Oryzias latipes: one gene and its partners. The protein of the gene in region 1 interacts with the protein of each later gene in a pairwise test. Links are inferred from orthologs where the notes say so. Each region holds a gene or a part of one and is shown on either strand. Other genes may lie near its edges. The genes, in order: pex5, ech1 and acot8.

Region 1 (9,530 bases):
CGCGCTGTTTATATGAATGAGGCGTTGTGATGTCACAATGGCCTAGTAGTGCAAGCGCATTGCAGAAGCTCCCTGATCTGCCCCGCCAGGCGTGCACAAGCTCAGGTGCGTGAGAAGAGAAGATGGTGCATTGCTGCATTGCCTGCACATATTTTAAGTGCATCCAAGGCTGGATTTTGTTTTTGACCACATGTATGAAAAAAATCAAAGTGGCCGAACCGCGTTTGGCCCCTTGATCAAAGGTGGGGCTACTCAGCTCAGCACCAACAGCCACACCCATGTAGAGGAGATTTTGGAAACGGAGGCTTCAGATAAACATGAAATATGCCTTTTTACAACATTTAGGTTGTGGGATTTTGATTCAAAACTTCAGAATTATAATCAAAACACAACATTTTTTTAATTGTCATAGGGGGACTTTAATTTATTCTGTTTAATGTATTCCTCTCCAGACCCTGGACGCTGGGCAGAGGAGTATCTAGAGCAGTCTGAGGAGAAACTGTGGCTCGGAGACCTTGGAGACAAGGAAAGTGAATGGTGAGAGGTGGGCCATGCAAAGCGTGTGGATAATAAAGTGTTTGCAGGAAAAAGTCCTTCAGGCAAGCATCAGTGAGTGCGCAGTGGCAGCCTGACACCCCTACAGGAACAAAAGAGGAAAAGCTCCAAGGGAGACAAACGATAACAGATCTGAATGCAGATTTAAACCTTGAACGCTTTCTTAAGCGAATGTGTCGTTTTATGTCCACCCATTTACTTTTATCCTCTTCTAACTTTATGCATTGAGGCTAATTGTACCCAGAGCTGTCCATGCATACATATAGGGCCGTCTGAATTCTAAAGCTAATGTATAGAATATCGGCCTTGGCTTCTACTGACGTCTATTGAAAGCACAGCCTTCAGCAAACCTGAGTATTATCTCCAACCTACATAAAGAGAAAATAACAGAACAGTTGCTCTGCTTCTATTACAATCTTGTGGTATATTTTGTATTTGTCTGGCAGGACTAAAGAGTATCAGTCAGGAGAAGAGCTGAGGCAGACGGCAAATGAACTTGTTGCAAAGGTCGATGACCCCAAGTTAAAAAACACAGAGGTGAGTGCTGTCCTGCTCTGTCATGAATCAGTCATGTATTTTTTCCCTTCATATCTGTCGCCTTATTGTTTCTTGTTCTTTAGTATTAAGTGTTGGCTTTATAACCATTAGAAGAGTCATGTAAAAACAACCAATTATCCCCAATTAAAACCGCTGCTCAGTAACAATTTTGTGATATAAAGTTTTTTTTCTTTACTTTTTTTTATTGTTCCCCTCATTGTTGTGTAGTTCCTGAAATTCGTTAGGCAGATTGGCGAGGGAAGTGTGACAGTGGAGAGCAGAGCAGACAAACAGCTCACAGATAAAGCTCAGGCTGAGGAGGCTCAGAACTGGGCCTCCAACCTCAACCAGGTAGGAGTCACTGGCCTCTGAGGATGGTATTGCTACAACTAACAGCTGTATGTTTTGGGGGGGGGGATGAAATTGGTTCATGTTGCATAGGCTATGCAGTGTGACTCACCTCCCCAGTATCTGATGCAGTGCACCATTTTCCATGAAGGTAATCAAAAGCAGCCACCAGTTTCCTAGTAGTAGGAATCTCAAGGCTGCGCAGTGCTGAAGATCCAATTTGTTTTGAAAAGAAGAACTCGGCACGATTAGCTTTTCCTCTTAGAAATTTAGTTTAGGTTTAATAATAAGTTTAAGGTGTTAAAATGGTGACTCGAGGCAATACGACTTTCATACAGGGAATTTAAAAAGCTTTACAGTGATTGAAGATTTTGCCAGAGCAGCTTTGGCTTTGAATCTAACCATACACATTGTTGGCGAACATCTGAGCTGTTCAGCTTGTTGGTAGCAAAAGCTCAGTGTTCCATCAGTATTTAAATTTACTGCAGCTCAGAAATAAAAAAGTCCCTTTCCAATCATCTATTGATCAAAGTCTTCTCAATAGCTTTTAACTATGATTATGCTGTTTTTAGCCAAAATCAAGAAACCTGCCGTTTTCCAGGACATAGTTTCTGGAGAGCAGCAGGAGTTTCCACAAAGCAGCCCCGCCCCCTCTTCCCCTCCCCGTTGATGTAGAGCTCAGAGGAGGGAGCTTGGTTATTTTCTACGTCACAAATAAGGTCTTCTTCCAACTGCATTATTTTGTCTGCATCTGATTCACAACAATTTCAATAAAGAAATCCTCAAATTCAATTTTAAGCTTAACGTACTTAATATATGCCTTCCATAGAAAAATCATGCCGCTAGAAAATGTTAAAAACACGATTTCCATTGGAGTGGGTCTTTAAGTGAATGTCACATTTTAGAAGTCAACTTTTTTCCCCAAAAATACAGACATCCTTGGCCACCAACAAAAACATAAATAAAATGAATACAGTAATTATAAAGCTAATGTAGAAGTGAAGTCAACTGGCTACGCTGATTGAAAAGAGGTGCTGACATGACATTTTTCATTTTTGCGATCATGTTTTGCATCTTACACTTTTTTTAAGAATAAAAAGGTGACTTTTCATTCATCTTCTAAACCCATTTTATCCCTTTCTGGGTGACGGGGCTGCCAGAGCTTATCCCGGCTAACTCGTGGGCAAAGGCAGGGTACACTTTAAACAGGTCGCCAGTCTGTCTCAGGGCCAGAAATCACACACCCATGCACTCTCACATTCACACCTAGGGACAATTTAGAGTAACCTATTAACCTATGAAGCATGTTTTTGGATGGGGAGGAAGCCGGAAAACCAACTCCACACAGAAATGTCCCCCATTGATTCTGTTTCAGGTCCCCCAGCCAGGACCTTTTAAGACATGAGCCTTCTTGCTGTGAGACAAGAGCTGTTAAAAAGAAGTTTATAAGTCATTGAGAATGTATTTGTTACAATGTAACTTCATTTTTAGTTAACGTTTTATCGACAAACTGGTAGTTTTCAGTACAGTACCCTCGTTTATTGCAGGGGCTACTTTCTACAAATAACCTGCGATAAACAGAATCTACAGGATTTTTACTTTTTAATATTAACACTGTGTTGTGTGTTTAAGGCTGTAAAACCTCACTACAAACTTTAACATTCTCACACATTCTCTCTTGTTTTAACTCTCAAAGATTCAAACCTTTGTAAAACAAAAACAAAAAAGTCTGGCACTTCCGATTTTACGCTGGTAGCAAGCAAAGATTGATGTAAACTAGTCAAGCTGAACGCTTTCTGTAAAGGAGATGCAGCATGAGGCAGATTGATTGATAGTGGTCTACAGCCAATCAGGATGCAGAGCACAATGTGCTGTAAAAATGAAAAAACGTTTTTAAAAAATCAGCAAAACCCCAAAAGGTGAATCACATTATTATAGCATGGTACTGCAGGGTTTAGTGTCCAACTTTGTTTTTAGTGTCTGCTGGTTTCATTTATTCATTCATTATCTGCTGATTTGACAGGATAGACTATCTTCCTGCTGTTTAGCACGTCTTATTTGCTGAAATGTTGCCTTCTCAACCCAAAGAAAAATAGACTATCCCAGTTAGATTAAGTTTAATTCATAATCATGCAACATTGTCATGTGCTTTGCTCATTTCGGCTTGCCATCCCCTTTCATGTTTTACATTTGTCATGTAACATAGACAAAAAAAAAACCACACAACTCTGTTCCACCAACCACCCCCAAAAATTTTCCCTACCCACCGCTTCCTTACCCTCAAATCATTGCCCCATGTGCCTTCGCCAAACCCTTCCACCTCACGTCATAGTTCCTGGTGGAGACGGGGGGAGGAAGTCTTCCCTTGGAACGGCAGGAGATGAGTCAGAAGATTGAGAAAGTTAAAGCTAAACAAGCAGAGCAGTGGGCCAAAGTCATCAGGCAGGTAGGACCTTTGCAGTGGCGGCAGCACTAGGGATATAGGGGTAGTTGTGCCTGTTTTTTATTAGAGCTTTGCTTCTAGTATTTTTTGATAGATTTTTATCTGTCATTTAGACTCTTAGATAAGCCCAGCCGACATTCATTTAGCCTTTTCAGGCTTTTTTTTTTTAATAAGCAAGGAGTAGGAAAAAGGCTTTTTTCCCCTTTTGTCATTCCTGCTGCTTTTGCAATACTTGTGTTGTTATGTTTCTGCTTGAAGCATCCCAGATCTCCATTCTCATCAGATTTCTTAGCTAGTAGATTTCTGTCATCCGCTGCCAATGGTTTTATTGTTCTACAGGTTTCAGAGGAGTCGGCTGAAGCATGGGTAGATGAGTTCACAACAACAGGGCCGGATTTTCATCAAGCCAAAGCTGCAGTGGAGGTGAGCCAAACTTTTTTAAGTCCAAACCCAAAGCTTTTGTCCGATACTCAGGAGATTTAGCTCTTTTTGTTATAAATTTAGAGGAAGGAGGAGAAATCCAATCAAGAATTTTATCTTAATATGTCCTTATTAAAGCAAAATAATCCTGTTTTAGTTGAAGTTATTTCTTGACACGGTCGTTCAAGCCATCCACGCTTTTCTGTGGATAACAAAAGTCAAATAGTGTCTGCACTGTAGAGAAATGATTTGAACTGTGTGGGAAACTGTAAAATGGATGTGTCATTTTGTCAGAGTGATGTGGATTTCTGGGAGAAGCTGCAGCAGGAGTGGGAGGAGATGGCCAAGAGAGATGCAGAGAGCCATCCCTGGCTGTCTGACTTTGATCAGTTACTCAGCTCTTCTTATGACAAGGTAGCTGTCAACCTCCTCCATGCTCGAATCCTTTGAGAAATGGTGCTGATGTTGAAACCTTGTGTTGTATTACATTCTGCTGTAAGCCCGAGAGGTTCTTTTGTTTATAATTTGTCATTGGATTCATCATCATCAAAACATTTTGACCAGTTTGGTTGTGTTTTTTTTCTGTTTACTTTAGGGTTATCAATTTGAAGAAGACAATCCTTACCTGTCCCACCCAGACCCTTTGTCAGAGGGGGTTAAAAGGATGGAGGCAGGGGACATTCCTGGAGCCGTACGGTTCTTTGAAAGTGCGGTACAGAAGGAACCAGACAACCAGCTGGTGAGATTTCCTGTTTTTAGTTGCTAAACATTTATTTTTTTTCATTTTGTAATGGAAAGAGTCCACATTGAGTTTGTGGCATTTCTTTTTAACAGAAAGCAAAATATGGTTTTATTAAATTACCAATAGTAATTCTTTTTCTTTTAATATTTTTTTTTATTAACGAGGTTTATTCATTTAAAAGGTGAGTGTGAAATAAAGTGTATCTATTTTTACGTTTAAATTGCAGGCTTGGCAATATCTGGGTACCTGTCAAGCAGAAAACGAGCAAGAGTTTGCTGCCATCAGCGCCCTCCGCAGGTCAGAATGCAGAAGTGAAAAATCCAGCCTACAGGCTTAATGTTCAAAGCAGAAATCTGTCTCGCCAGGAAGTGCTGCAAGTTTAAGTGCAGTAAATAATATTTAGCTAAACCATTTTCTATAATTCTGTTTTAAGCAATAGGTAGGAAACAAAAATATATATTCTAATTTCTTTGAGTGACATTTTTCCTCCTCCCATTGTTATTTTTAGGTGTATAGATCTGAAAAAGGACAATTTGACAGCACTGATGGCGCTGGCTGTTAGCTTTACGAATGAGTCGCTGCACAGGCAGGCCTGTGAGACTCTTCGTGACTGGTTAAAGCACAATCCTAAATATCGCTCTGTGTGGGAGCAGCATGAGCATGAACGCCAAAAAGACGGTCCTGGAAACAGGGAGAAGGAGAGCGAGAGGTTCGGGTCCCTTTTGCCAGAGTGAGTGTGGTAGATGAGGAAATTTAAGCCTCTAAATATTTATGTATTTATCTTCTTTTTTTTTGCGTGGCAGTTTTAACTGAAATTTTTCCACTTTTTCTTATTGGTTATTTTACACAGGTCGCTATTTACTGATGTTCAGTCCATGTTCCTGCGTGCAGCCAATGCAGACCCCACCCAGGTGGACCCACAGCTGCAGTGTGGCTTAGGAGTCCTCTTTAACCTCAGTGGAGAATATGACAAAGCGGTGGACTGCTTTAGTGCTGCCCTCTCCGTCACTCCCCAGGTTAAAGCAAAGATCCTCTTCTGAGATATTCATAACGTACTGTGTGTGTGAATTTTTTTTTTATTCTGCTTTTTGCCTTTCTTTTTTTTTCCTGACAGGATTATCTGTTGTGGAATAAACTGGGAGCCACTTTAGCTAACGGAAGCCGATCAGAAGAGGCTGTGGCTGCTTACAGGAGAGCTCTGGAACTTCAGCCAGGTTTTGTCCGCAGTCGCTATAATTTGGGAATCAGCTGTGTTAACTTAGGTGCCCACAGGTGGGGAGCCTTTTAAATTTTGTAAAAAAAAAAATTAAAAAAAATCTTTTTGTTTTGTTTATAATACTAGTTAACCAAAACTAGTTTCAAGCAAACATATCAGAATAAACGTAGTTGCTCTTTGATAATAGTTGACTGAATGGGATTTAAATGTTGCACCATCTAAAATTTTTGTTATTTTTAACTTCGCAGAGAGGCTGTGGAGCACTTCCTGGAAGCTCTGTCTCTGCAGCGGCAGGCTGCGGGTGACGGTGTGAGAGCTCCGCAGGGCCCTGGAGGTATCACAGGAACAGTGATGTCTGACAACATCTGGTCAACCCTGCGCATGGCTCTCAGCATGATGGGCGAGAGCTCTCTGTACGCAGCAGCTGACCGGCGAGACTTGGATATGCTGCTGGCTCATTTCAGCCAGAGGGACGCTGATGGTGGGACGGAATGAGGACCAGTCAGGGGAGGGTTCATCAAGTGTGAATGTGCTTTGCTGGGAGATAAATGTTTGGATGACTGAATAAAAATGCTGAAACCTAATGGTTTGATGTAAAGAAACATGCCAGAGGAAGACACTGTGATATCCACTGTGCTAGACACTATTTTTATCATGTGGTTATTTGTGTAGATGACCATGTTTACCAGGTTTGCAGTATTTGTCAGTGGGTGGAGGGAAGCAGCAAGCGAGAGTTTGTATGAACAATTGAGGTGCAGTAATACTAAACCTTTGGAAGATAAAATAGGCAAACGCATGAGTAATTTCCTTGTTTTCTGTAGTAAGTGGCGCCAAGTCAGACTGTGCTCACTCTGGCACGTGTGCAGACGACGGTACACGGGTGATGCAGCGCTAAAAACAAGAGCAGCTTCAAGTCAAATGATTTAGACTACAAATTTATTTTAATTTAAATTAAATTTTCTTTGATAATTTTTCTGCCATCACCATATCTAGAATACCAGCAGGACTGTTACTTGTATTATGTTATGGTTGCTTGGGAGGGGGCATTTAGTTTGGGGGAGGGTACCTTTAAATTGCCCTCTTTCCTGTATTTTCTCTTGTAAAACAAATTTTGTTTCATTGTAAATAGCTGCATATGCCATAATGTTGATTGTAATATAATGGTGCACTACAATTGTGTTCAGGCTGCTTGTACCCTGACTGCAAGGTTTTAATATAATATTCGGCAATAAAGCTTTGATTGCAGATATCTGGTTTGTTGGGTCTTGAAACATTATCTGCGGGGAAAGAATAGTCGTAGATGATGGAAGACTGACCATTTAGGAAACCAGAACATACATTAAATAAGCACGTGCTATTCGATGTGTAGTGGAAAAGTAGAAACGAGCATATATGTACGTAAATAAATTACTTTAATGCAAAATTATTTATTATAATGATCGCATTTGCTTGATGGCAGAAAGTTTGCTTGATGGCGGTAAATTTCCCAATTGAAAATGTATTTCTTTGAAAAGTAAATGATAAGCTAGCTGTGCGGACATTTTTCAACGGTCAACTGTGTTATCAGTGGTAGCCACGCCCAATATTAATGAGGTACAACTTTTAAGCCAATGAGCACTGCGTAGTTAAAGCGGAAGTGCTTTCTTATTGGCTCGTTTGAATGTAACAACCACGCAGCCCACGACATTTAAATGTTTTAAAAGTTGAGTGTTCCTGTTTATGTCGTTTGTCTTGGATTTGTCAGTATCCGAGAGGGTCGGTGTCAGAGTGCGATTTCTTTGTCTTGTATAAGGTATGTTTGTTCAACATTTTGGTCAATGTCCGTGAAATATGTGTTCTTGTTTATGGTCATAAGGTCATTTAGCCGCCGTTTGGCTAAAGATAGAAGCACATTTTGAATTAAATCGTACTTGTTTATTCACGCTGACTTAGTTTAGTTGCCAGTTGATGATCTTTGCATACATGTCTAATTCACATTTGAACGTTTTGTTGAAGAACAAAAATTAATTAATTAATATTACTTAATATTATTTAAACTGTAAATTATGCTGTAGAAAGGAAATGGCAGATTAGAAAAACCTGAATATTACTCAAATGTGATTCCTACTCACTGAATGCATGTTGTTTTTACCATTCAGTACACATACTTTTAATGAAAGTATACCTTTTTCAAGATACGTAAAAAAATATATTTAAAAAATATATAAAATTTCCAATTCTATCCTGAAAGTTTACTAAATTGTACAGAGTTAGATGTGAAACATACTGCATGTTCATAGTTGTCGAAGTTTTTTATTTTTCTACAAATCCACCTGACTTGCTATTTATTTCTTAAAATTATGCAGGAAAAATAAAATCATTATGGGATCAAGTGAGAGCAAGTCGGCTGTGCCAGCAGAGAAGAAGCCAGAACCAGCCTTTAAAAAAACCCACATCAGCCATCTGGTTGATCCTCGCTCTCCCTCAGGCGGCATAGATCGAACACCCATTCAAGTGAGGTTATTTTTTATTTTGTTTGCATATTTATTTGCTGCTGCAACTGCAAATTCTAACAATTCAATTCATATTTGTGCATCTTAGGTAGGAGAACAGGAGTCCAATGTTTCTCAATTAAAAGGCGAGTGTCCCCTGGCCATAACAGATCCTCGCTCACCTACAGTTGGCATAACCCGCACTCCTGTCAGAGAGGTTATGAGAGGTAAATAATTTTTTTGAATGAGCCTTTAATCTTCCCCTGTTTTGCTAACGAAGTCTGATTTTTACCTTTCATTTTCTTCTAATAGCAACAGTTGGGTCTTTAGCTCGCCGCCTTGGTATGCTGTTCCACAATGAGACTGAAGGCAAAGCTGCAGAAGGCCCTCAGAAACACTTCACAGATGCTGTTGAGGAGGTCCTTGAGGGTGAAGAACTGGCTTCCACTGTGCCACTGCTCAATCCTCACTCGAGCAAAAACTTTGGCTCGTTAGCCGAACATGCAAATCTTCTCTCCACCCCTGTTCATCCATCCCTGCAGAGTGTCTGCAGTCCCTTTGTGCTTCTGGAGCATCCTCAGGTCGAAGTGGAGATAGAAACTGAGACGGATATTACCTTTGAGGAGGCCGAAGAAGCAAGCGCGTCTCCTCTTAACAATAGACTGAGCATGAGCCTGATAACATGCCACGAAGGGGCAACTTCAGCTCAAATCTACGCTGATGTGCATCACGAAGCGAGCTTCTTCACAGAACCTAGTGTTGAAGTGAAGGCTCTCGGGGACGGTGCTGATCATTCCT
Region 2 (10,070 bases), on another chromosome or scaffold:
CAGGCTCTGCAGGAGAAGCTGTGGAACACGGCCGTCCCTCTGTGCCTCAAACAAAACGTCACGGCCACGGCCGCAGCTCAGCAGGTCAGTGGGCATGCACACGCATGCACGCACGCCTCTGTAGGAGCAGCAGCTCTGACCGAAGCAGCTGTGGTTTCAGATTGTGGAGGAAACCTACAAACTGGAGTTTCTCTACAGCGGCTTGGAGAACCGGCAGGTGGCCACCATCCACCACGTCCGACTGCAGGCCAAAGCTCTGCAGCTCATCCTGACGGCTCGCACCAGACAAGGGTCAGCGCAGCCGCCGCCGCACACACACACACACACACACACGCAAGAAGTCATCATAAGAGGAATCAAACGCTCTGCTTTCTCCCCAGACTGGATCCTCTGGTCAGCAGCGAGAAGTTTCTTCAGGAAGTGGAATCTTTTCAGAGGTCAGCGCCTTGTTTGTTGGTCCCTTTGGTACCCTTAAGTGTTTTTTGTTTTTTACTCTTTTCAACGATCAAATCTTTGTTTTTCATCAGATATATATGTGTGTGTGTGTGTGTATGTATATATATATATATATATATAATATATATATACACACACATAGAGTTTATATAAAAAGTTTTTCTTTTTATATAAAAACATGAGTTGGATGCAGTGGTAGCTTTTCTAAATTCAAAAATTATTTTTTGTTTTGTTATAAAAAAGAGTTTCTACTTGATAATATATAAACGTATTTAGTGTTAAAAAATAAAAAACTATAAAAGGTCAAAGACAAATATTTTTTAAGAATTTTGTACTTTAAACAAACAAAATCCTATTGAACGACCCTCTGAATGTCCTCAGTCTGTAGAAAGAAGAAAACGAATCATCTTCAGGTTCCTTAAAGACCGTCGCTGCTGCAGGACGTTTTTGTTTCTTTTTGACCTTTTTGAATTTCTGAGGTTAAAGGTTGAAGCGGTCCTGGAGTTCAGCCCCTCAGTCGGTGTGTTTCTCTTCCTTCAGGCAGTTCTTGCCGGAGCTGCCCCACCTCCAGGACAGCTTTGCAGAGAAGCTGCTGGAGCTGATGCCCCGCTTGTCGTCCTGCAAGCCGGTGGAGCTGGTGAAGATCCTGCAGGCCACGCTGAGGCAGAGCGGCGTGCCGCAGCTCCGGCTTCCTGAACGGGTCGGTCGGCAAAGTCCAGGGGGGGCGCCCGCTCTTAGACCGGCCCGCTAACTCCCGCTCTTCCCAACAGATCCACAGAGCGACCGCCACCATCATCGAGCCCACCGGGGAGTCGGACAACCCGCTGAGGTTCACCACCGGCCTGGTGCTGGCGCTGGACATCGACGCCACGCTGGAGCACGTCCAGAACCCGCAGAACACGGTGAAAGTGCAGGTGAGGCTGCTCTCACCTTCTAGCGACATTGATCTAGAAATCTCATTTCACGATGAACCGGATTCTTCTGCAGGTTCTGTATCCAGACGGCCAGAGTCATGTGATCCATCCCAAACCCGCCGACTTCAGGAACCCCGGACCCGACCGGCACCGACTCATCACACAGGTGTACCTCTCTCACAGCGCCTGGACAGGTGGGTTTGAGGAGCACGCAGCCCCCCCCTTCACCTCTTTGAAGATACCAATCACTCCTCTCCTCCCCTCCTCAGAGCCCTCACAGATTGAAGTGCGCCTCCTGCTGGCCTACAGCTCCGCCTCCTCCTCTCCCTCCAAAAGTATGACGGGATGGAGCGACAGCTTCGACGGGCCGCCGCCCCCGGAGCCCGCCGTGGAGGGAACCATTCCGTTCAGCAAAGCCGTTAAAGTTTACATCATGCCTAAACCTGCCCGGCGCTGACCTGACATTCTCCCCGACCCGGATCGACCCAACAGAACCCTCTGCCATGTTCACCTGTAGATAATAAAGTATTTGTACTGCAGAGGAAACTGAGACGTGCAGAAGAATCTCAAACGTTTATTTTGTTTCTGGAACTATTGTCTGTCGTCCCATTTTGGTTCCGTCCTCCAGAACTTTTTTCTTTAGGTTCTGGTTTCCACGGCAGTGAACCATTTCACCAGAGACTCGATAACCAGAAGCGATTCAGCTGGATAGGATTCCCATCAGATCCAGAGACAGCAACTCAACAGGTGGAGTGGAAGACTCCACCCACTTTGGCGCCCTGCGCAGCCATCTTGTTGTATTCGGCCACAGCCTTCTCGGTCTGGAAGACCTGAACGTCGACCCCTTTCTGCTTCACAAAGTCCAAAGTGGAGGGAGGAACCTGAGAGGAACCACAGCTGTGATGTGGGAGCCCAAAACGTCAGAGGTTTCTCACCAAAGTCTCACCTGCAGAGCTTCATTCATGCCTCTGCCGATGATCAGGAGCTCCGCCCCCTTCTTCAGCACCTCCTCCAGATCAGCAGGCTGAACCCCTGGGTGATGCTGCAGATGAGAGCAGCATGAGAACCTGTCCACCGCTCAGGTCTCCTGGTTCTGGTTCACTCACATTGGTTCCAGTCTCTCTCCAGTCCCAAGCCCGGCTGCCTCCAGGCCACACCTTACAGTCCTTGTAGCTGGAGGAGCAGCCTTTCACCTTCATGTGGCCCCATGACAAGGAGGCGATCTCAGGGGAGGACATGATGAAATGGAGCAGGTCTACTGATGAGCTGCAGCAGCCAAAGCTAGGTTCGGCAAGCGCTCCGTTCCAGACCAGAACCTCCTAAACTGACTTCACAGACGGTTATTTTGTCAAAAATGAGGAAAAGGTACAGCCTCACCGTTTATACAGAGCTATTTGTACTGATTTATGAGAAAACTTGGAGCGGAGACTTGAGCTGCTGTTTACTTGTAGTCAGTGGCGTCACATATAAGCCACGCCCCCGCTTACTCCTGATGTTCTTAAAGGGGAAATGATTTTTTTCGCAGTATAACTACTTTCTCGTAGGATTTCTTAAAAAACACATAGAAGTCCAAGAAATAAATTTATTTATTTAAAATACTTATTTTTGAAAATATGTAATCAAAAGAAGCCAATTTTCTTGTTAACTCTTAGCCAGAGTTTCGATTTTTGACACTTTAACATTTCAAAAGTTTTAACATTAGTTGTTATGGTTACCCAAACTAATTAATAAACTTGTTTAGTGTTCAATGGATTTGTTTTCATCAAAGACCCTTTAAAAAAAGGGTGATCACCCGTTTAAACTATAACCCATTGTTTGCTTTATTTAAATGAAAAATTATTTCAACGTATACATAATAAAATAAAATGAAAACATTTAAGTTTTTCTTTTCTATTTCTTGTATTTAAAGTATAATCGCTTTCGCTTTTCATGTAAAAAAAACACATCAGATTTGTCATTCAATGTCTCATTCTGAACGGAAGGTGGCGGTAGTGCGCCGCCGCGGCATGAACAAACCTGCGTCATCCAGGAAGAAGAAGAAGCAGAACAAATTACTTACTCAATCTGAATTTTTAGCAAAACTGATGGAATATTGTTTTAGATGTCCATAAATATGAAATATTGTAGGTAAGACCTCAGTTTTTAAATGATTATCACTTTAGCCTAGGCGCATTATTAACGTTAGCTTTCGGTCAGCAGCAGGTGAAGAGGACTAACTAACTACCCCCTAGGAGTAGGACTAACTACCCTCCAGAGTAACTACCACCCTGCAGTGCACCGGGCGTGATTGGTTGCTCTGCTGGAACTGATCTTTGGTCAAAGGTCCATGTTGTCGGTCGGATTCGCCCTGAAAAGTAAGTTTTCATGCTTTTGTCTCTTCTGCTTCACTTGAAGGTGAATCTGGGTGAAAGGGGACGCACGCGCCATTTGGTTCAACGTAGTATTTATTTATGTTTATGTTTTTTCTGCAATTTTAGTTTGAATCTACTTCCAGTCCGTACAGTTACCTTTTTAATAGACTAGTTAATAATTACCCAAGTGAAGTTAGCAATCTTTTTTATTTATCTGACGAGATATATATATAGAAATATATTTTTAATAGATGAAAAAGCATCAGATGTGTTGGGTAAATGTTAAAATATGTATTATAAATATTTGTTTGATTTATGATTTGATTTGAATAATGAAAAAATTTAATTTTAGTTCAGCAAATGTAAAAGTCTTTTTAAATGCATGTAGTTTAAAAAATCTTAATTTATAAATAAACAGTCAATAAATCATATTACTATGATTACTATATTACTATTAGGTATCGCATCTACATTTTATTTACTTTATTTGAGTTAATTTATGCCGTTCCTTAAAATAATGTACTGGTTTTATGCAATAAACTACCTAATTTTTATCTTCTGTTAAATAATTTATCAGTTATATGTACAATATTGTAAATATGCTGTCAAACTTTTTGTATAAATGTTTTGTGAAATTCAGTCAAACTTTTAATTTTGTTTTCTGTCTATCGGCTCAGCTGGGCGGTTGTGGCGACCCGCTCAGGTAGCGTGCAGAACCATGTCGTCTGCAGGTGGCCCCGCCCCCTTCACCACGCTGGCCGTCAGCCGGCCCACAGAGGCCGTCACACACGTGGAGCTGCACCGACCAGAGAAACGCAACGCCATGAACAAAGCCTTCTGGAGGTGCCAGCTTCGCGGGCCTGAACTCTTCAGGGGGTTCCGGGTTCTGGTCTCTGAGGAAAGTTCTGGTTCTCTTGCAGGGAGATGGTGGAGTGCTTTAATGAGATTGCAGAGGATCCGGTCTGCAGGGTGGTGGTGGTCTCTGGATCTGGAAAGCTCTTCACTGCAGGTGGGACTCGCTGACTTTGACAGCTCTGATCCGAGTCAGACGAGTCACTTTCTGCTGTGTGAACGACAGGTCTGGACCTGATGGACATGGCGGGCGATATGCTCCACCCAGAAGGAGACGACACGGCCAGAGTCTCGTGGAACGTCCGAAGGCTGATCACCAAGTACCAAGAGACGTTCTCCGTCATCGAGAAGGTCAGAGTCCTTTATGGTGGTGAGGCTCATCTGCGAGTTCGGCGCTGATGGCGGTTCTGTTTCAGTGTCCAAAGCCTGTGGTGGCGGCCGTCCACGGTGGCTGCATCGGTGGAGGTAGGAGGTCGTCCACACTGCACTTTAGAAGAAAAAAAAATCTTTCTCTTTAATCAAAATCAGTTTTTACAATCAATTTAAAACAAGACTATATTTTAACCTCACATTAATTTATGTTTACCTCCATAATGTGCAAATAAACTCAAATAGTTTTTGGTGTCATTCCGTATAAAACAGCTGTGTTGTAATATATATAAATCAAACTGAATTGGATTAAAAACTCCTCCATTTCTGAACAGTCACCTGATCAGCTTTCCATTCATGATAAAGAATGACGTGTTTACATCGACTAAGGGAAAATGAAAACTAGACCTTTAGGTGGTTTAACGCTGAACTCACCTGTTTTGGCGTCCAACAGGATTCGTTGGTTTGTTTTTGTAATATCTGCTGTAAATGCAGATTTGTGCTTCATCAGGAGTTGACCTGATCACCGCCTGTGACATCCGCCTGTGCACCCAGGACGCCTTCTTCCAGGTCAAGGTAAATATGTTGTTCTTCATGGCAAAATTCCAGATTCACAAAAGTAAATTGGCTAATAAAAAAACTGAATTCTTCTTACTGAAATTGGAACTGCAGAAACATTTAATAATAATAATAATAATACATTTTATTTCAAGCGCCTTTCAGGTCGCCCAAGGTCGCTGTACAAGGTTAAAATAAGAAAAACAGAATAAAAAAATCAATAAGAAATTATCAGAGTAATACATGAAATACATAAAGATAAAAATCAATAAGACATAATAAAACAGGATAGAAAAAAAGTTTAAACAGGATAAAAACAGGATAGAAAAACAGACAAATGTGGTTGTGTTTACTGAATGGATTAACTGTATGATTGTTTGAAGAGATGAGTCTTGAGTTTGGATTTGAACAGTGGGAGGGGGTCAGTATTGCGAAGATCTGGAGGAAGAGAATTCCAAAGCTGGGGGGCGGAGCGACTGAAAGCTCTGCCCCCCATGGTGGCAAGACGGGCAGGTGGGACATGGAGTTGGAGAGAGGAAGTGGAGCGGAGAGATCAGGAGGGAATGGAAATGTGAAGAAGATCAGAAATGTAGGGTGGAGCCAGGTGATGGAGTGCTTTGAAGGTGATGAGGAGAATCTTGAAACTAACCCTTTGTTTTATGGGAAGCCAGTGTGAATTTTGGAGAACTGGCGTGATGTGGTGGGATAACGGGGTCCTAGTGATGATGCGGGCTGCAGAATTTTGGAGAAGCTGCAGTTTCTTGGGAGTTTTATTGGGCAAAACAAACAGGAGGGAATCACAATAATCAATTGGAAAAGTGACAAGACTATGAACAAGTACACCAGTTGTATGAGGAGTGAGAGAAGGGCGGAGACGAGATATACAGCGGAGATGAAACTAAGCAATACGGGTGATGATATGAGATTGGAAAGAAAGTGAGCTGTCGAGTATTTAAAATCAATTTCTGCTTCAAAAAGTAAAAATGCTCATAAAACGATTAACATCTGTAAATTTTTGGGATTAGTGACATAAGTTAACCATTTCTGGTTTTTCTTCCTTTTATTTCTTTTTTTTGTTATTTATTTCCTTCTGTGATTGCTTCATTTGGTTATTATTGAACACCAGTTTGTGTAAAAAAAAATTTATATTTTAAATGGCCCCCTGGTGTTCTAAACAGGAATTAACTGCAAAATCCAGTAGACTTTTGTGTCCGAATTCCTTCCCTTCTCACTATATAATGTGGTCACCATTTTTCTAGTGCCGTTGCTGCGAAAAACCAGTGTGCATTGATGCTCACATGCTCATCGGCGAATACAGACCACAATGCATTGCGTTGAAACAATTTTTGCCAGAAAATGTATTTTAATTAAAAAAATTTAATAACCCATTCAAGGTTTTCATGTTTGGAAGACAGTGGACTCATAAATAATCGTCTTGGATTAATCCGGTTTCTTGCTTCCGTTTCTGCTGATACCTTTTTTTTTTTTTTTTAATTTTTAATCCTCATTTTTTTCATGACAATTTTTCTGTAGTTAAAGTTATAAACTGACCAATCAGATGCCTCCATAAAAGTAGGTGGAGCCTGCAGACCCCACGTCTCAAAGCCTGTAACTCATTCATGTTGTCCACTTTCAAGTGGTAGGGGTGTGGCCTTCCAACAAGCTCATTCCTGATTGGGGAGAGTGGTTGCCACAGAAACACTGTACCTTTTGCTTTTTTGAGTGTGATGAACAGAAAGTTCTTTGTTGCACCTTTAGCTGGAGTCATTCTGTTCGTTTACATTTGAATGAAAAACCTTTTCTTTTCTTTTCGTGTTGCGTGTAATGAATCTCTGGAGATCTTTGAAATGTTCCTCGGCGTGGATGTTTCTCCTGTCTTCAGGAGGTCGACATCGGGCTGGCGGCAGACGTCGGGACTCTGCAGAGACTCCCTAAAGTCATCGGCAGCAGCAGGTGAGACCCCTCAGGAGCAGAGAAGGCTGGAACATTTTACGGCATGTTTGTGGCTCATCTTCCTCTCTGCAGCCTGGTGAACGAGCTCGCTCTAACCGCTAGGAAGATGTATGCAGATGAGGCGAAAAGCTGTGGTCTGGTCAGGTAAACCTTCACCAACGCTCCCTTCCTGCTCACCAAAAGGATTTCAATGCGAAAAAAAACCTTCTTCTGTGCAGTCGAGTGTTTGTGGATAAGGACGCCATGATGGCCGGAGCTCTGGAGATGGCGGGGGAGATCGCTGCTCGCAGTCCGGTGGCCGTGCAGGGAACGAAACTCAACCTCATATACGCCAGAGACCACAGCGTTGCTGAGGGCCTCAACTACATGGTGAGGAGCTGCATTCACCGTAAACAACAGCAGCATGCAGCAATAACCAGGCGTTCTGTTTTTCAGGCCACGTGGAACATGAGTATGCTGCAGACGGCAGACGTGATGAAATCCGCCCAGGCCTCCATGGAGAAGAAGAGCCCCAAAGACGTGGTTTTCTCCAAACTCTGAGAGTCAGAAGGACTTTGTGTGGAGGAATCCTGACTGATCTTTTCCACTAAAACATTAACCTTTGTTAAAATCAATTGAACAGAAAGTGTCTGAAACATAATTTCAATAACTTAAAAGCTTTAATGAACTTCAGAATCATAATTTAAGGTAATCGATTCCAGCCGTCGTCACCTCTGCTTGGCACGAAGTTTGTGTAAAGTTTTCTGTGAAGACAAACATTAAAGTTTAAACTCTGCTGTGGTCTGGAGCAGCTTCTTTCTGTTCTCACCATGTGAAACTCTCTGGCCTTCAGCCGGTTCTTTGCATAGTCCTCCTGTCTGCTCCTGAAGGATCTCTGCTGCTTCACCTCCTCCAGTTGCTCGTAGAGTCTGCACACAGACGCTGGAGTTAAGGCCCGCACACACCGGGACGAATATTCGCCAGGCGTTATTCGCCAGCGTTTTTCGCCACGTTTTTTGTGTTCACACCCAGGCGATTTTCGCTGACGGTGAGCCGAGCGAACATGCAATTTCATTCCCTGACATTAGATGGCGCTTAATGTAAAACAGAAATACTCCTGTACACAAGGTGGCGCTGCGCAACTTTACGATTCTTAAAGTCGCTTTTCACTCAGAAGAAGATAGCAAGTATTTACGCGCTTGTCAGAATAATACAAAGAAAACATGAATATTTCAAGCATCAGTAGCTCCAACTGGTGCTTGGTTCAGGGATATTTTAGAATGTCCGTCATTATTTCTTTGCGGCAGTGTAGACGCTACTTGGCGTCTAACTTCTTCGCTGGTATGTGTGCTCAGCAAGGCAGTTTTGTGTTTGAGCGCCCCCAAGTTGTGTTTTACTGTAACTTCAGAGGCTCCAGACACGTGTGCAAAAGCACCATTCTCATTGGTCGAATAGATTTCGACGCGACGCGTCAAAAAAAAAAAACGAACCCGAGGCGTTTTTTTTTTTGACGCTTTGTCGCGTGGCGTTTTTTCGCGTCGGTGCTCACACTCTCATTGGTGCCCTTTGTTTAGTCACGAGGCGTTAAACGTCGGCGAAAATCGCCGGCGAAATTCGTCCCGGTGTGAACAGGCCTTTACTCCACCGGGGCTCTGGAGAGCACGTGGCGTGTGATTTGAGCGTTTACCTGCGAGTTCTGCGGTGCATCTCTGCAAGGTCACGCTTTCTGTGTGCTGGTGTGCTCATCTTCACCTCCACCGCGGGGACAGGCACTTCAGAAAAAGAACAAACATTGTTCACAGAAATACTCTTTTCATTTTTAAAGAATGTTGATGAAAACGTGATGATCAAACAGTCGTTCAACAAAAACCTGCTGGAGGCAGCGGCGTGTTCTCCTGCTGGAGCTCTGCCTCTTCCTCGCAGCAGATGCTGGGCGGAGCTCCCGTCGCAGCAGGCGGAGCTTCTCCGCCTCCCTTTGCTGCAGCTGCTTTGGCTTTCAGCTCCTCCACTCTGCGTTTGGATCTCTGCAGGAGGAGGCTGCGCCTCTGCAGGAAGACCTCCTGCAGGCTGGAGGTCCGCTGAAGCTCCAGGTCGGCCCCTGAACACGTCTCACGCTCTTCCTCTGGAGTTTCCTCCGGTAACGGAACCGATTCAAACATCTGACAGAAACATTGAGAGCTTGCTCAGATCATGTTAAATTTTTGTTTGAGTTCTGCTCCAACGACAAACCTCAATCCAGTTTTCCTGGTGGACGTAAACTTACCTTCTCTTCTTCCTCCTCCTCCTCCTCCTCCGTGACAGTGGTGTCCGTTAGGCTCACTAATGTGATCTGCGACTGCTCCAGGATCCCCTTTTCTTCCTCCTAACATTCAGAAACAAACTGTCAGTCATGTTGAGTCTGAAGACTGTGCTTGGATGAAAGCAGAAACCTTCAGTACCAGCAGATCTGCAGCAGCAGAAGACTTCCTCTCTGTTCTCCACTCACAGTCTGCGTTTGGGATCTCATCCTTCATGGTTAAACGTGCCAGAGTCGCCGCCGTTAGCTCTACATCTGCCCTCACGGGGTGGGGCAGAGAGAGGTCAGAGTCGTGGAGGAGGGGGAGACGGCTGAACGACGGGGGTGAGGTCTCGACGCTCC
Region 3 (10,123 bases), on another chromosome or scaffold:
GATTTATTTAAAAAACCTGTCAATTCATCGAAAGAAAGAAAAATCAAAATATAATTGTCTTGAGACAAGACAAAAACAAAAAAGAAGAGAAAAAAATACATCAAATCAAAAATATTTATGATCATTCAATTTCACATAATTCCAGATAATTATAATCCATTTCAATCCAGATCATATCTGGATCCTCAGCTGTTTTTTTTTAAATAGCCCAGGGCCACCATAAAAGAAATTAAATAATAAATATATGGGAAAATGAAACTGAAGATAAAAAGGCAAAATGTTATGAGAATAAAAAAAATTATCTGAAAAAGTAATTTTTGGAATAAAGTTGTGAAACTTTGAGGAGAAAAAAGTCAAAATTTAAAAGCAAAGTAGTAGTAAAATCAACAATGGGCATTGTTGTAAAATATAAAAACAAAAGTCAATATTTTATGAGAATGAAGTCATCAAATCGTGAGAAAAATTTCAAATTTCATGAAATATGTTGCAAATTTGTTAGAGAAAAGTAAAAATTGTGTGACCAAAGAACTACAATTTCGAGAAATATGTCAAAATTTTACAATAAAGGAAGTTGTAAAATTATGAGTAAAAATGTCAAAATTTTAAGAAATAAATCATAACATTAAAGTAATAAAGTCGTATGTTGGATGTATATACTTTATTTTCTTATTCTTCTATCAACTGCTGTTTGAAACTGTGATTATAGTCTGTTTGACCTTACATTGAGTTTGCAGTGCTGGAGTTTTTCTGCGTGGAAAAAATATGCATCAGATGAACAAGGAGTGTCGAGAAAACAGTTAAAGATTAGAAACAGAACTGAAGAACTTTCCACTGATCCTCCCATTTCTGCTGTGAGAAGAAATGAGAACTGCTGACTCTGCATCCCATAGATTTCTTTGTAACCAAAACCCATTTGTTGAATGAAAGGAGGACGTCGGACAGACATCTATAGAGCTGCTTGGGGCAGTGGTGTCAAAAGGTTGTCAGTTTCTGGCTCTCCTCACCAGAAATCTTACTGGGCTCCTGATTCTGTTCTTTAATACTGTCTTGTGTCTTCAGATATAACCTTGCATTCATTCAATTAAGAGAAAAAAGTTTCAACTTTATGAGAATAAAGTTTTAAAAGTATGACAAAGAAGTTAAACTGTGAAGACAATAAAATCAAAATATTAAAATAATAAGGCCATAAATTAATGAGAAGAAATAGTCAGAATTTTACAAGAATTGAGTTGTATGATTATGAAGAAACAAAATTCCATGTCTTAAGGAAAAATAGTCATTAAAATATGGGAATAAAGTCAAAACAATAAAGTCATAAATGTTTGAGAAAAAAGTCAAATTTTCACAAAAATAAAATCAACCAATTATGAGCAAAAAGGTCAAATATGAACGATTATAAAGTCTAGAAGTTATGAGAAAAAAAGTAATAAAATGTATTTGAATTAGATCCTAAAATTATGAGAAAAAGGTCAAAATTCTCTGAGCAGTTTCTTTCCACGTATTACTGCCCTGTTACATCACAGATGGTTATTCTTCATCACTCCTTTGGATTTATCTCATCGTTTTCTTTCTTTTAATTCACAGTCACAAATCCTCCACCACATCCATTCATCACTCTCCACCACAAGCTCAAGCCTCCAGATCCAGATTGCCTCTCCTTTAGTGTCTCTATGGACACCGTACCCTCAGTCTTTTTGGATGGCATCCCCGACCCGTCTGTCCATCACCTTGTAATCCCTGCTTCAGAGATCCATGGAAAGAGACCACACTGATAATACACACGGTAGTAGCAAAGGATCAAAAACGTTATCAGAGCTGCTTGTGGCTTTCTCACATGGTTAACAAAGACATAAAGGAGCTGCTCCGCACATTCAGATATCTTCTGTATTCTCCTTCAACTCTTCTTTTCATATTTCTTAATTCAGATGTTTTTCAAGCGGCCACCAACTCCCAACCATCTTCCAACTTCTCCTCCTTGTACGGCGAAAATACCCCATCCTCTCTTTTCCACTAACTCCTAGCCAAGACAGAAATCATGAAAAATCACTTAAAGAAAATTACAATCGAGTTTCCTCTTTAATTTTAGCTAATAAAAGGCTGAACAAAAACCATTTAAACAAATGTGGCATTTCCTGATGCTAGACAAAACATCCTTTATGTCAATCAAGTCAAACTTTATTTATAAAGCATTTTTTAGACATATGTAACACAAGAGATTTAAGTATCCAGAAACTGATTCAGGAGTTGGTCAGTGTTGTCCAAAAGGTAAATGTTGTCCAATGGGGTTGATCAGCCAGAAAAAAGAAAAACAAAAAGGATACTCATGGAAAAAGAACTCCAATGAAAATGGTGTTTTTAACATGTTTTTGTAACATCTTACTCATGATGGATGATATTAATAAAGACAATTAGGATTCAAAACTGCCTTTCTCAGTATTTCTTTATTCAAATAGTTGTGCATCAGGAGCAGACAAAAAAATGCAGTTTAAAGAACTTATAGATGTGGCGCAGCTGTTATGGTGGAAAAGCCACAAGTTCCCTGCTCTGCTCCATTCTGATGCATCCACTTGTAGACTATTTTAAATCTTTAGATTTAAATCATGTTTATTTAGGCAAACTGGCCTTGTTGATGGCAAAATCCTAATTCACACAGCCCCTCCACAGGGTTCTGTTTAACTGCCTCGATATTTTGGTTGATCTCTCCCCCCACATAGTTTTTTCTTTGCATTTCTATGCTGATGACAAACAAATCTTTTTGTATCATCCGCCATTAGATGTGGCAGTGTGATCACACATCTCCTACTGTTTCAAAATGTTCTCCTTAAATGGGAGAAACACATCTTCACATCATGATCCTTCTGCCAGCCCTTTCAAACAGCACAGCTTCACCGTTAACATTAGGTTCTGAGTGACCATTGATTCTGCTTTTCTTGGCCTTAAACTGACATGTATTAATCAAACCTTTACTGAAAACAACAACGTAAGCAATTTTTCCTTTTATTTAAAAATAAATGGAGGTCTATTTATAACTACTGTGCTCGTTTTTTGATCTATTGTAAAAGCATTCCCAGTAGTCTTTTTTATTATGGCTATGCCCTTTTTAGGCGAAATCAAAAACACGTGTCGTTTTCTGGGACATAGTTTCTGCAAACCGGCAGGAGTTGTGGGTGAAAAAAATTAAATCTAGGTCTGACATCCAAAATTGTGTTTAGCTGTAATTTTTAGCATTATGAGACTATAAAAGCTACATAGTTGTTTTTTAATTTAAATGCCCAAATTTTAAACTTTAAAAATAAATATTTAGTTCTAAAGTGTAAAATCAAAAGTCGCCTGAAGGTGGCAGCAGTGAAAACGTCAGTCCGTTGCAAGTCAAAGAAGAAGAAAGTCGCCATGACTAACATTAAAGTAGAGGAAAAGACCTCAAAATCGGGTTGTATTTCAGCTCTAGAAGCTCCGACAATGTCTGGAAATGACGGCGCAGACAAAGCTGAGTCTGGGTTCACGCAGGACTTGAAAAGCGTTCTTGTTACCAGCGTTTTAAACCTGGAAGAGCTCGACATCGACCTGTACAGGTAACACATAGTACAGAGTTCCGTCACTTTTTCCTGAAAAGAAACGCGCAGTTCAGGAACATCACGGAAAACTCAACTATAAAGTAACCCGTTAGCACGGCAGACAGGTGTATGACCAAACGCCGTTCGTTTTTGTTTTCTAAATGCTAAAAACATCTAGCTTTTTGCCAAGGAAACACTACTTCAATTTAAACGATCTTTAATTTATTGCTTTTCATTATCCATTTTTATCAACTTAAATTATTAAGTTTGTTTCATATAAAAAAAACACATATTTTTTATAATTACGAAACACTGAAAACGTCAGAGTTCGGAACTGAGCTTCTGTGTATTTAATTTTCTCGCTCTTTTTGCTAGCTTTATTCCTGTCACTGAAATGAAAACCAGGATTTTTAACTCCTTTACATCGTTCTTATAAACTATGTTTTGTATTGTGTTGTAATACATCAAATTCAACTAATTCAAAAATTACCGTGTGATACATTTAGTGATGTTTTGTTGCGATGCTGACGTCAGTTTTGATTGTTTTTACTTTTATTTTGCAACTAGTGGAAGTTTATTTCGGCTTTTGGCTATTTGAAGGCTGTTTCCGGTGTTTCTCCTGTTGACTTTTGTTCGGGAGAATGACATTAAGTTACATGGGCTGGGAATAAATATATTATATTATATTATATTATATTATATTATATTATATTATATTATATTATATTATTTATTTATTTATTTCTGACCATCATTGCATTTTTTTTTAACTTATCTTTTTCTGTATCACTTTCGCCTGTACGCAGAGAAGTCAGCTCTCGCATCCTTAACTCCTCCACAGCTGAGGTCTTTTCTAATGCTTTTAACCTGGTCCTTTCTCCGTGTACTGATGTTAATACTTTATTATGTAACTTTAACCGTTATTGTCTTTCCATCTTGGATGAAGTCTGTCCTGTTAAAACTAGACTGGCTCCTGTCACTAAGGTTTCCCCTTGGATTAACAATAGTATTCGCCGTCTCAAACAATTATGCAGGAAAGTTGAACGTTTATGGAAAAGAACTCACCTAAATGTTCATCTCCTTCATCTTAAGGATCTTTTAGTTTCTTTTAACAATGCTGTTAGAGATGCGAGGGCTGCATATTTCACTAATCTCATTTCCAAAAGCAGAGGTAATCCTAAAGTGCTGTTCAACACTATTAGTGATATTGTTATGCCCAGTCCACCTGCCGTTCCCATCCATTCAAATGATGATTGTGAAAAGTTTTTATCATTTTTTATTGAAAAGGTCAGATCTGTGAGAAGCTCTCTGTGTCACACAGCTGGTCCTGGCCCTGGTTCTTTTCCTGGTCCGCCTCGTCCTGTGATTTTAGACACTTTCTCGCCTGTTTCCCTCCCTGAGCTAGTCAGATTAGTTGGCACAATGAAGTCATCCTCTTGCTCCCTCGACACGTTGCCAACTTCTCTGCTCAAAGATGTCTTCCAGTCCATTGGTCCCTGTGTCCTGTCAATAATGAACTCGTCTCTGCTGTCTGGTCAAGTCCCTGAGCACTTTAAGGAAGCTGTTGTACTTCCTCTCCTTAAAAAACCTGGGCTTGACCCCTCCCTCTTGAGCAGTTTTAGACCCATTTCTAACCTTCCTTTCATGTCTAAAATTTTAGAAAAGGTTGTTGCCAAACAACTTACAGCTGCTCTCGACAGTCATGGGATATTTGATCATTTTCAGTCAGGTTTTCGCAGAGCTCACTCCACTGAAACAGCCCTTCTCAGAGTCACTAATGACATCCTGATGCAGGGTGATGCAGGAAAATGCTCTGTGTTACTGTTATTAGACCTGACCGCAGCCTTTGACACTGTGGACCATAACATCCTCTTGGACAGGCTGAAAAACTGGGTTGGGGTCTCCGGATCAGCCTTAAACTGGTTTTCATCATATTTGACTGGCAGATCTTTCTCTGTTGTCTTCTCCAAGTTTAAGTCTTCTTCTGCTCCTCTCACTTCTGGTGTGCCCCAAGGCTCAGTTTTGGGACCTTTATTGTTTATTTTATATCTGCTGCCTTTACAGCATATTTTAAGTTCTTTTAATGACATTTCTTATCACTTTTATGCTGACGATATTCAGCTTTATGTGTCTTTTAAACCCCAGGATGTTTTTAAAATACAGACTTTACAAAAGTGTTTGGACTCAGTTAAGAGCTGGATGAATCACAACTTTCTCCAACTCAATGAAGCCAAAACTGAGGTCCTAGTTTGTGCTCCTGACAGTTGTCTCCCCAAGATAATCCATGAGCTCGGCTCACTTGCTTCTTTTATCAAGCCCTCTGTCAGGAACCTAGGTGTAACTTTAGACCCGGTTTTATCCCTGGACTCCCATGTCGGGTCACTCGTTCGCTCTTGTTTTTATCATCTAAAAAACATTGCAAAATTGAGTCCAGTTGTGTCCCGTTCTGAGATGGAGATGCTCATTCACAGTTTTATATCCTCCCGTCTCGACTATTGCAACTCCATCTTCACATGTTTAAGTAAAAAATCTCTAGAACGGCTCCAGATTGTCCAGAACGCTGCTGCTAGGCTTTTAACCAATTCATCCAAGTTCTCACACATCATCCCGTTGTTAATGCAGCTGCACTGGCTCCCCATTCACTACAGAGTGCATTTTAAAATCCTGGTCTTAACATACAGAGCTCTTAATGACCAAGCACCAGTCTACATAAAAGACCTGGTGCAGCCATACACTCCCAGCAGGTCACTGAGGTCATGTGACCAGGGTCTGCTGGCTGTTAAGAGAACCCGTTTAAAGACTAAAGGAGACAGAGCCTTTGCCACGGTGGCCCCATCCCTCTGGAACTCTCTTCCTCTCAGCCTCAGATCTGTGGACTCGGTGTTTTCTTTTAAAAAGCAGCTAAAAACATATCTTTTTAAAATAGCTTTTTCTTAATTTCTTTTTAACATGTGTTTTTACTGTGTTTTACTGTTGTTTTATCGTGTTGTACTGTGAAGCACTTTGTGATTTTTATCTGGAAAGGTGCTATACAAATAAAGTTTATTATTATATTATATTATATTATATTATATTATATTATATTATATTATATTATTATATTATTAGGGGTGTGACGATAAATGCATCACCGCAGTTTATTTTATTTTTTTAAAGTTCTACATATAGTGCGTGATTGGAACTGTAACAAACATATTAAACACATTGATCTTTGCTGATAATTTACTTTTTCTGCTAGTCCTGTGTTCAGACTTTAAGGGCTTTTGGGGGAATCCTTTTATTACTGTTTTCCTTCACTCCCTCTTCTTACACACGCGGCGGTTTCAGCAACACAGGAGACAAATTTACTGTGTTCTCATTATTAATTTCCATTGTATATATTATATTATATTATATTATATCATATTATATTATATTATAATTGTTTGTCATAACAAATATAGCAGCACCTTTTCCCTTTAGCGTTGTGTTGCTAAACAAAGAACAATGTATTTTTGTGTTGTTTTTTTCCCCCCAAAGGCTGCAGATAGAAAGGATTTCTGGTTCAAACATTTAGCAAAGATCTCTGACATCCTTGACTTATGTTTAGCAGTTTTTTTTGTCGTCCTCAGGGGAAGACATCACTGGGTGCCCCGCACTCAGAGGCTCTTTGGAGGCCAAATCATTGGTCAGGCTCTGGTGGCGGCAGCCAAGTCTGTTGGCGAGAACCTATACGCTCACTCCCTGCACTGCTACTTCGTACGAGCAGGTGGCACATCAACTAATGCTTTATTTTGCAGCACCAAAATGTAATAATCTATAGATAACATTTTTTTTCTCCTCTGTTTTTCATGGACGTGTTGTTTTTTTAACAGGGGACCCAAAGGTTCCAGTGCTGTACCAGGTGGACCGCACCAGAGATGGCCGCAGCTTCACTGTTCGCTCTGTGAAGGCCATCCAGCACGGCCAGCCTATACTGATCTGCCAGGCGTCCTTCCAGGTGCTGCAGCCCAGCCCTCTGCAGCATCAGTTCAGCATGCCCGTAGTTCCTCAGCCAGAGGAGCTGCCCACTGTGGAGGAAATTATCCACCAATATCTCAGGTACATTAATCCAGTTTAGTAGTTTGAGATCCCCCAAAGAGATTTTCAGAAAGAAAAGAAAAAATATTTAACAAATTATTTGTATCTTTTTTCTATTTTTGAAGAATTAGCTATTTCTAGTGGAAGCCTTCCTGCCATTTTTGGTGTGGGTATGCAGTAAATAGATCTACCTGAGCATAAAATTCACAACAAAACACAGCGTGAAATATAACTTAATTTTATTTTTAAATAATTAGAATGTTTGCACTTGAACAGCTGTTAAGCGTGTTCAACTACTTTCTTTAGCTAATTTAGCATCATTTAATTTAGCTAACCTGTCCAACATGACTTTTTATACCTGTCAAACGTTTACTTTAGCTATGTTTTGCTAACACATTAGCATACAATCAGCAGTTTTAGCATCTCATTAGGGTCTTCCTTTCTTTAGCTAATTTAGCATAGTTATTGTTTAGCTTTTTCAACTTGCTCAGCGTACCGAGCTTATTTCAGTGGGTTTTAAGTTTTTTGCTTTATAACATTTTAAGTGCAACAGATTTGTTTTCTCTACACTTTTAAAGTTTATATTAAATTTATATTGATTTAGCATTTTTAGCAACATGAATGTATTTTTTTTTTTTTTTTTTTTTTTTTTTTTAAACTTGTCCTGTCCAACAGCTAGGCAAACAGATGAGAGCTGAGGGCCTCTTGTGTTGGACATATTTTATTTTAACAAGAGGGGTTATTCATCTTCAGACAAACCAAAGGTATGTCTGAATAAACCCCTTTTGTAATTGAGGCCAAACTTTATTAATTTCAATCATGTTTGAAAATCTTTGGTGTTGGACCGGACGGAAAAGGAAAGAGGGGAAGAAGAGAGAGGGACGTTAGAGAGAGGGGGGGGTAGGAGGGTGATAATAGGAGGGGAAGGGGGGTAAGACCATGAAGCAGCATAGAGCAGGCAGGTTTACTGGTTGTTTATCGTTACGGTACGGTTCAAATGTAGTACAAAAAGGGCGGGGCCTGTTCACACACACTCAAATATTATCAACACACCTGCTAGCCGCAAAAATGTCCACAGGTCAACATGCACACAAAACAGATAGTGTTCACGAACGCATACCTATGCCTTTAAACCAACTAGTGTGAAATCTTTCATTCATTCAATCATGCAAACTATTAGTGCAAAGGTGAGCTAACACCTGTGCTCAGGTGAGTGTTTATGTTCTTCTAAAATGGATGGTGGAATGTGAAAAGAAGGAGGAGGAGCGCCCAGCCACCCCCACACCCATACCCCCGCCGCAGCAGCAGCGGCAGCCGGAGCCCCCCCAACGCCACACGGGAACAGGCAGGGAACAACCGCCCCCCGGGCGACCAAGACCGCCACCCAGGCCAGGGCCAGCAGGACCGCCGCGAGGCCCCCAGAGCCAGAGAGCAGGGAGGCGCAGAGGGAAAGAGAGCGCCGCCCCAGCCCAGCCAGGAAAGCAGCCCCCCGCCGCGCCGGAAGAGCCCAACGCAGGGCCCCACCGGAGAGGGACGCCCACAGCCCCAGACGAGCACCCCACCACCACCCAGGAGTTCCGGGCATCCCCCCGCCCCGACCCCAGGTACGAGCCAGGACCCCCCAAGGGAGACCCGCTCCGCACTCCAGGCAGCCACCCACCCGGCCCACGGTTGGTCCAGGTAGGAGCAAGGCAGGGGCCCGCCGCCCCCGCCCAGGAGGGGGGAACCCCGGGGAAAAAAGGGCGGCCCACAAGGGATGTTATAAATATGGCCCGACCAGGCTCGGCCATGTTGGAAGTTTGGCGGGGCCCAGCGTCCAGGGGCAAGGACCAGGACCCACCCCCCAGGGACACGAACACCCCCGGCTCAGGTGTAATATGAACCCCCCCACCGTGCGGAGAGAGCACCGCCGGGCCCAGGGAGCCGGCACCCAAGGGACACGGCCGCCATCGCCAAGGGGCCCGCACCCCCCACCAGGGAAGGGGTAGGGGACAGATGGACCCAGGTCCCACCTTCCTTGTAAAATGTGTGTGCGTGTATGGGTGTTTGAGAGGGTGTTTGTGTGCATGTGTGTGTGTGTTTATGTTTGAATGTATATATTGAAGGGGGAGGGGTGTGTGTACTAAGGGGGGTGCAGTTAAAATTGGCGAGTAGGGCACTAAGGGGACATCTCCTGATTACTCACAGTGATGTCCCCTCACCCTCCACACCAAGGGGCCCTAAATGTCTAAGGTGCGGTTAAAATTGGCGGGTAGGGTGCCAGGAGGACATCTGCTGCTTGCTTGCAGTGATGTCCAAGCACCCCCCCTACCAAGGACCCTACATGTCTAAGGTGCAAATAAAACCGAAAGAGGGGGGGCCCACTCCATACGGCAACCATAGGAGGGGGGCCACTCCCAAGTAGCCCCCCCCCCAAGGCGCATCGCAGGCTAGACCCCCCACCCCCTCACCCTAATATGAGGTTATATAAGGAAGGGGGTAAGTTGGGGACAGCTGGTAGACTGTCCCCC

What was found.
Region 2: the proteins of pex5 (region 1) and ech1 interact in a two-hybrid assay, tested with the Homo sapiens proteins (2 studies listed by BioGRID and IntAct, with this or other methods). The link is inferred for Oryzias latipes from reciprocal best matches to the Homo sapiens genes PEX5 and ECH1.
Region 3: the proteins of pex5 (region 1) and acot8 interact in binary tests that used the Homo sapiens proteins (3 or more experiments, as listed by UniProt). The link is inferred for Oryzias latipes from reciprocal best matches to the Homo sapiens genes PEX5 and ACOT8.

What each region holds. Positions count from the first base shown.
Region 1 is NC_019874.2:20,505,798-20,515,327, forward strand, and holds the end of pex5 (peroxisomal biogenesis factor 5), read left to right. Parts: intron 1-452; coding exon 453-537; intron 538-1,001; coding exon 1,002-1,092; intron 1,093-1,320; coding exon 1,321-1,443; intron 1,444-3,772; coding exon 3,773-3,886; intron 3,887-4,222; coding exon 4,223-4,306; intron 4,307-4,597; coding exon 4,598-4,717; intron 4,718-4,898; coding exon 4,899-5,042; intron 5,043-5,271; coding exon 5,272-5,342; intron 5,343-5,553; coding exon 5,554-5,775; intron 5,776-5,895; coding exon 5,896-6,061; intron 6,062-6,159; coding exon 6,160-6,317; intron 6,318-6,509; coding exon 6,510-6,756; 3' UTR 6,757-7,510; downstream 7,511-9,530. Other genes in the region: cdca3 (cell division cycle-associated protein 3), read left to right, coding at 8,623-8,754, 8,842-8,959, 9,045-9,530.
Region 2 is NC_019871.2:2,470,134-2,480,203, forward strand, and holds ech1 (delta(3,5)-Delta(2,4)-dienoyl-CoA isomerase, mitochondrial), read left to right. Parts: upstream 1-3,367; 5' UTR 3,368-3,497; exon of another isoform or gene 3,498-3,569; 5' UTR 3,570-3,696; coding exon 3,697-3,724; intron 3,725-4,398; coding exon 4,399-4,564; intron 4,565-4,641; coding exon 4,642-4,730; intron 4,731-4,799; coding exon 4,800-4,924; intron 4,925-4,989; coding exon 4,990-5,038; intron 5,039-5,453; coding exon 5,454-5,518; intron 5,519-7,382; coding exon 7,383-7,453; intron 7,454-7,525; coding exon 7,526-7,597; intron 7,598-7,671; coding exon 7,672-7,822; intron 7,823-7,888; coding exon 7,889-7,993; 3' UTR 7,994-8,160; coding exon of another isoform or gene 8,161-8,196; 3' UTR 8,197-8,228; downstream 8,229-10,070. Other genes in the region: ints4 (integrator complex subunit 4), read left to right, coding at 4-84, 161-291, 381-437, 997-1,156, 1,227-1,370, 1,444-1,564, 1,640-1,827; aamdc (mth938 domain-containing protein), read right to left, coding at 2,111-2,251, 2,317-2,412, 2,477-2,608; cep295 (centrosomal protein of 295 kDa), read right to left, coding at 8,161-8,196, 8,262-8,361, 9,120-9,204, 9,303-9,591, 9,696-9,794, 9,871-10,070. UniProt on the Homo sapiens protein: Isomerization of 3-trans,5-cis-dienoyl-CoA to 2-trans,4-trans-dienoyl-CoA.
Region 3 is NC_019863.2:23,239,088-23,249,210, reverse strand, and holds the start of acot8 (acyl-coenzyme A thioesterase 8), read left to right. Parts: upstream 1-3,349; 5' UTR 3,350-3,390; coding exon 3,391-3,572; intron 3,573-7,165; coding exon 7,166-7,302; intron 7,303-7,408; coding exon 7,409-7,634; intron 7,635-10,123. UniProt on the Homo sapiens protein: Catalyzes the hydrolysis of acyl-CoAs into free fatty acids and coenzyme A (CoASH), regulating their respective intracellular levels. Displays no strong substrate specificity with respect to the carboxylic acid moiety of Acyl-CoAs.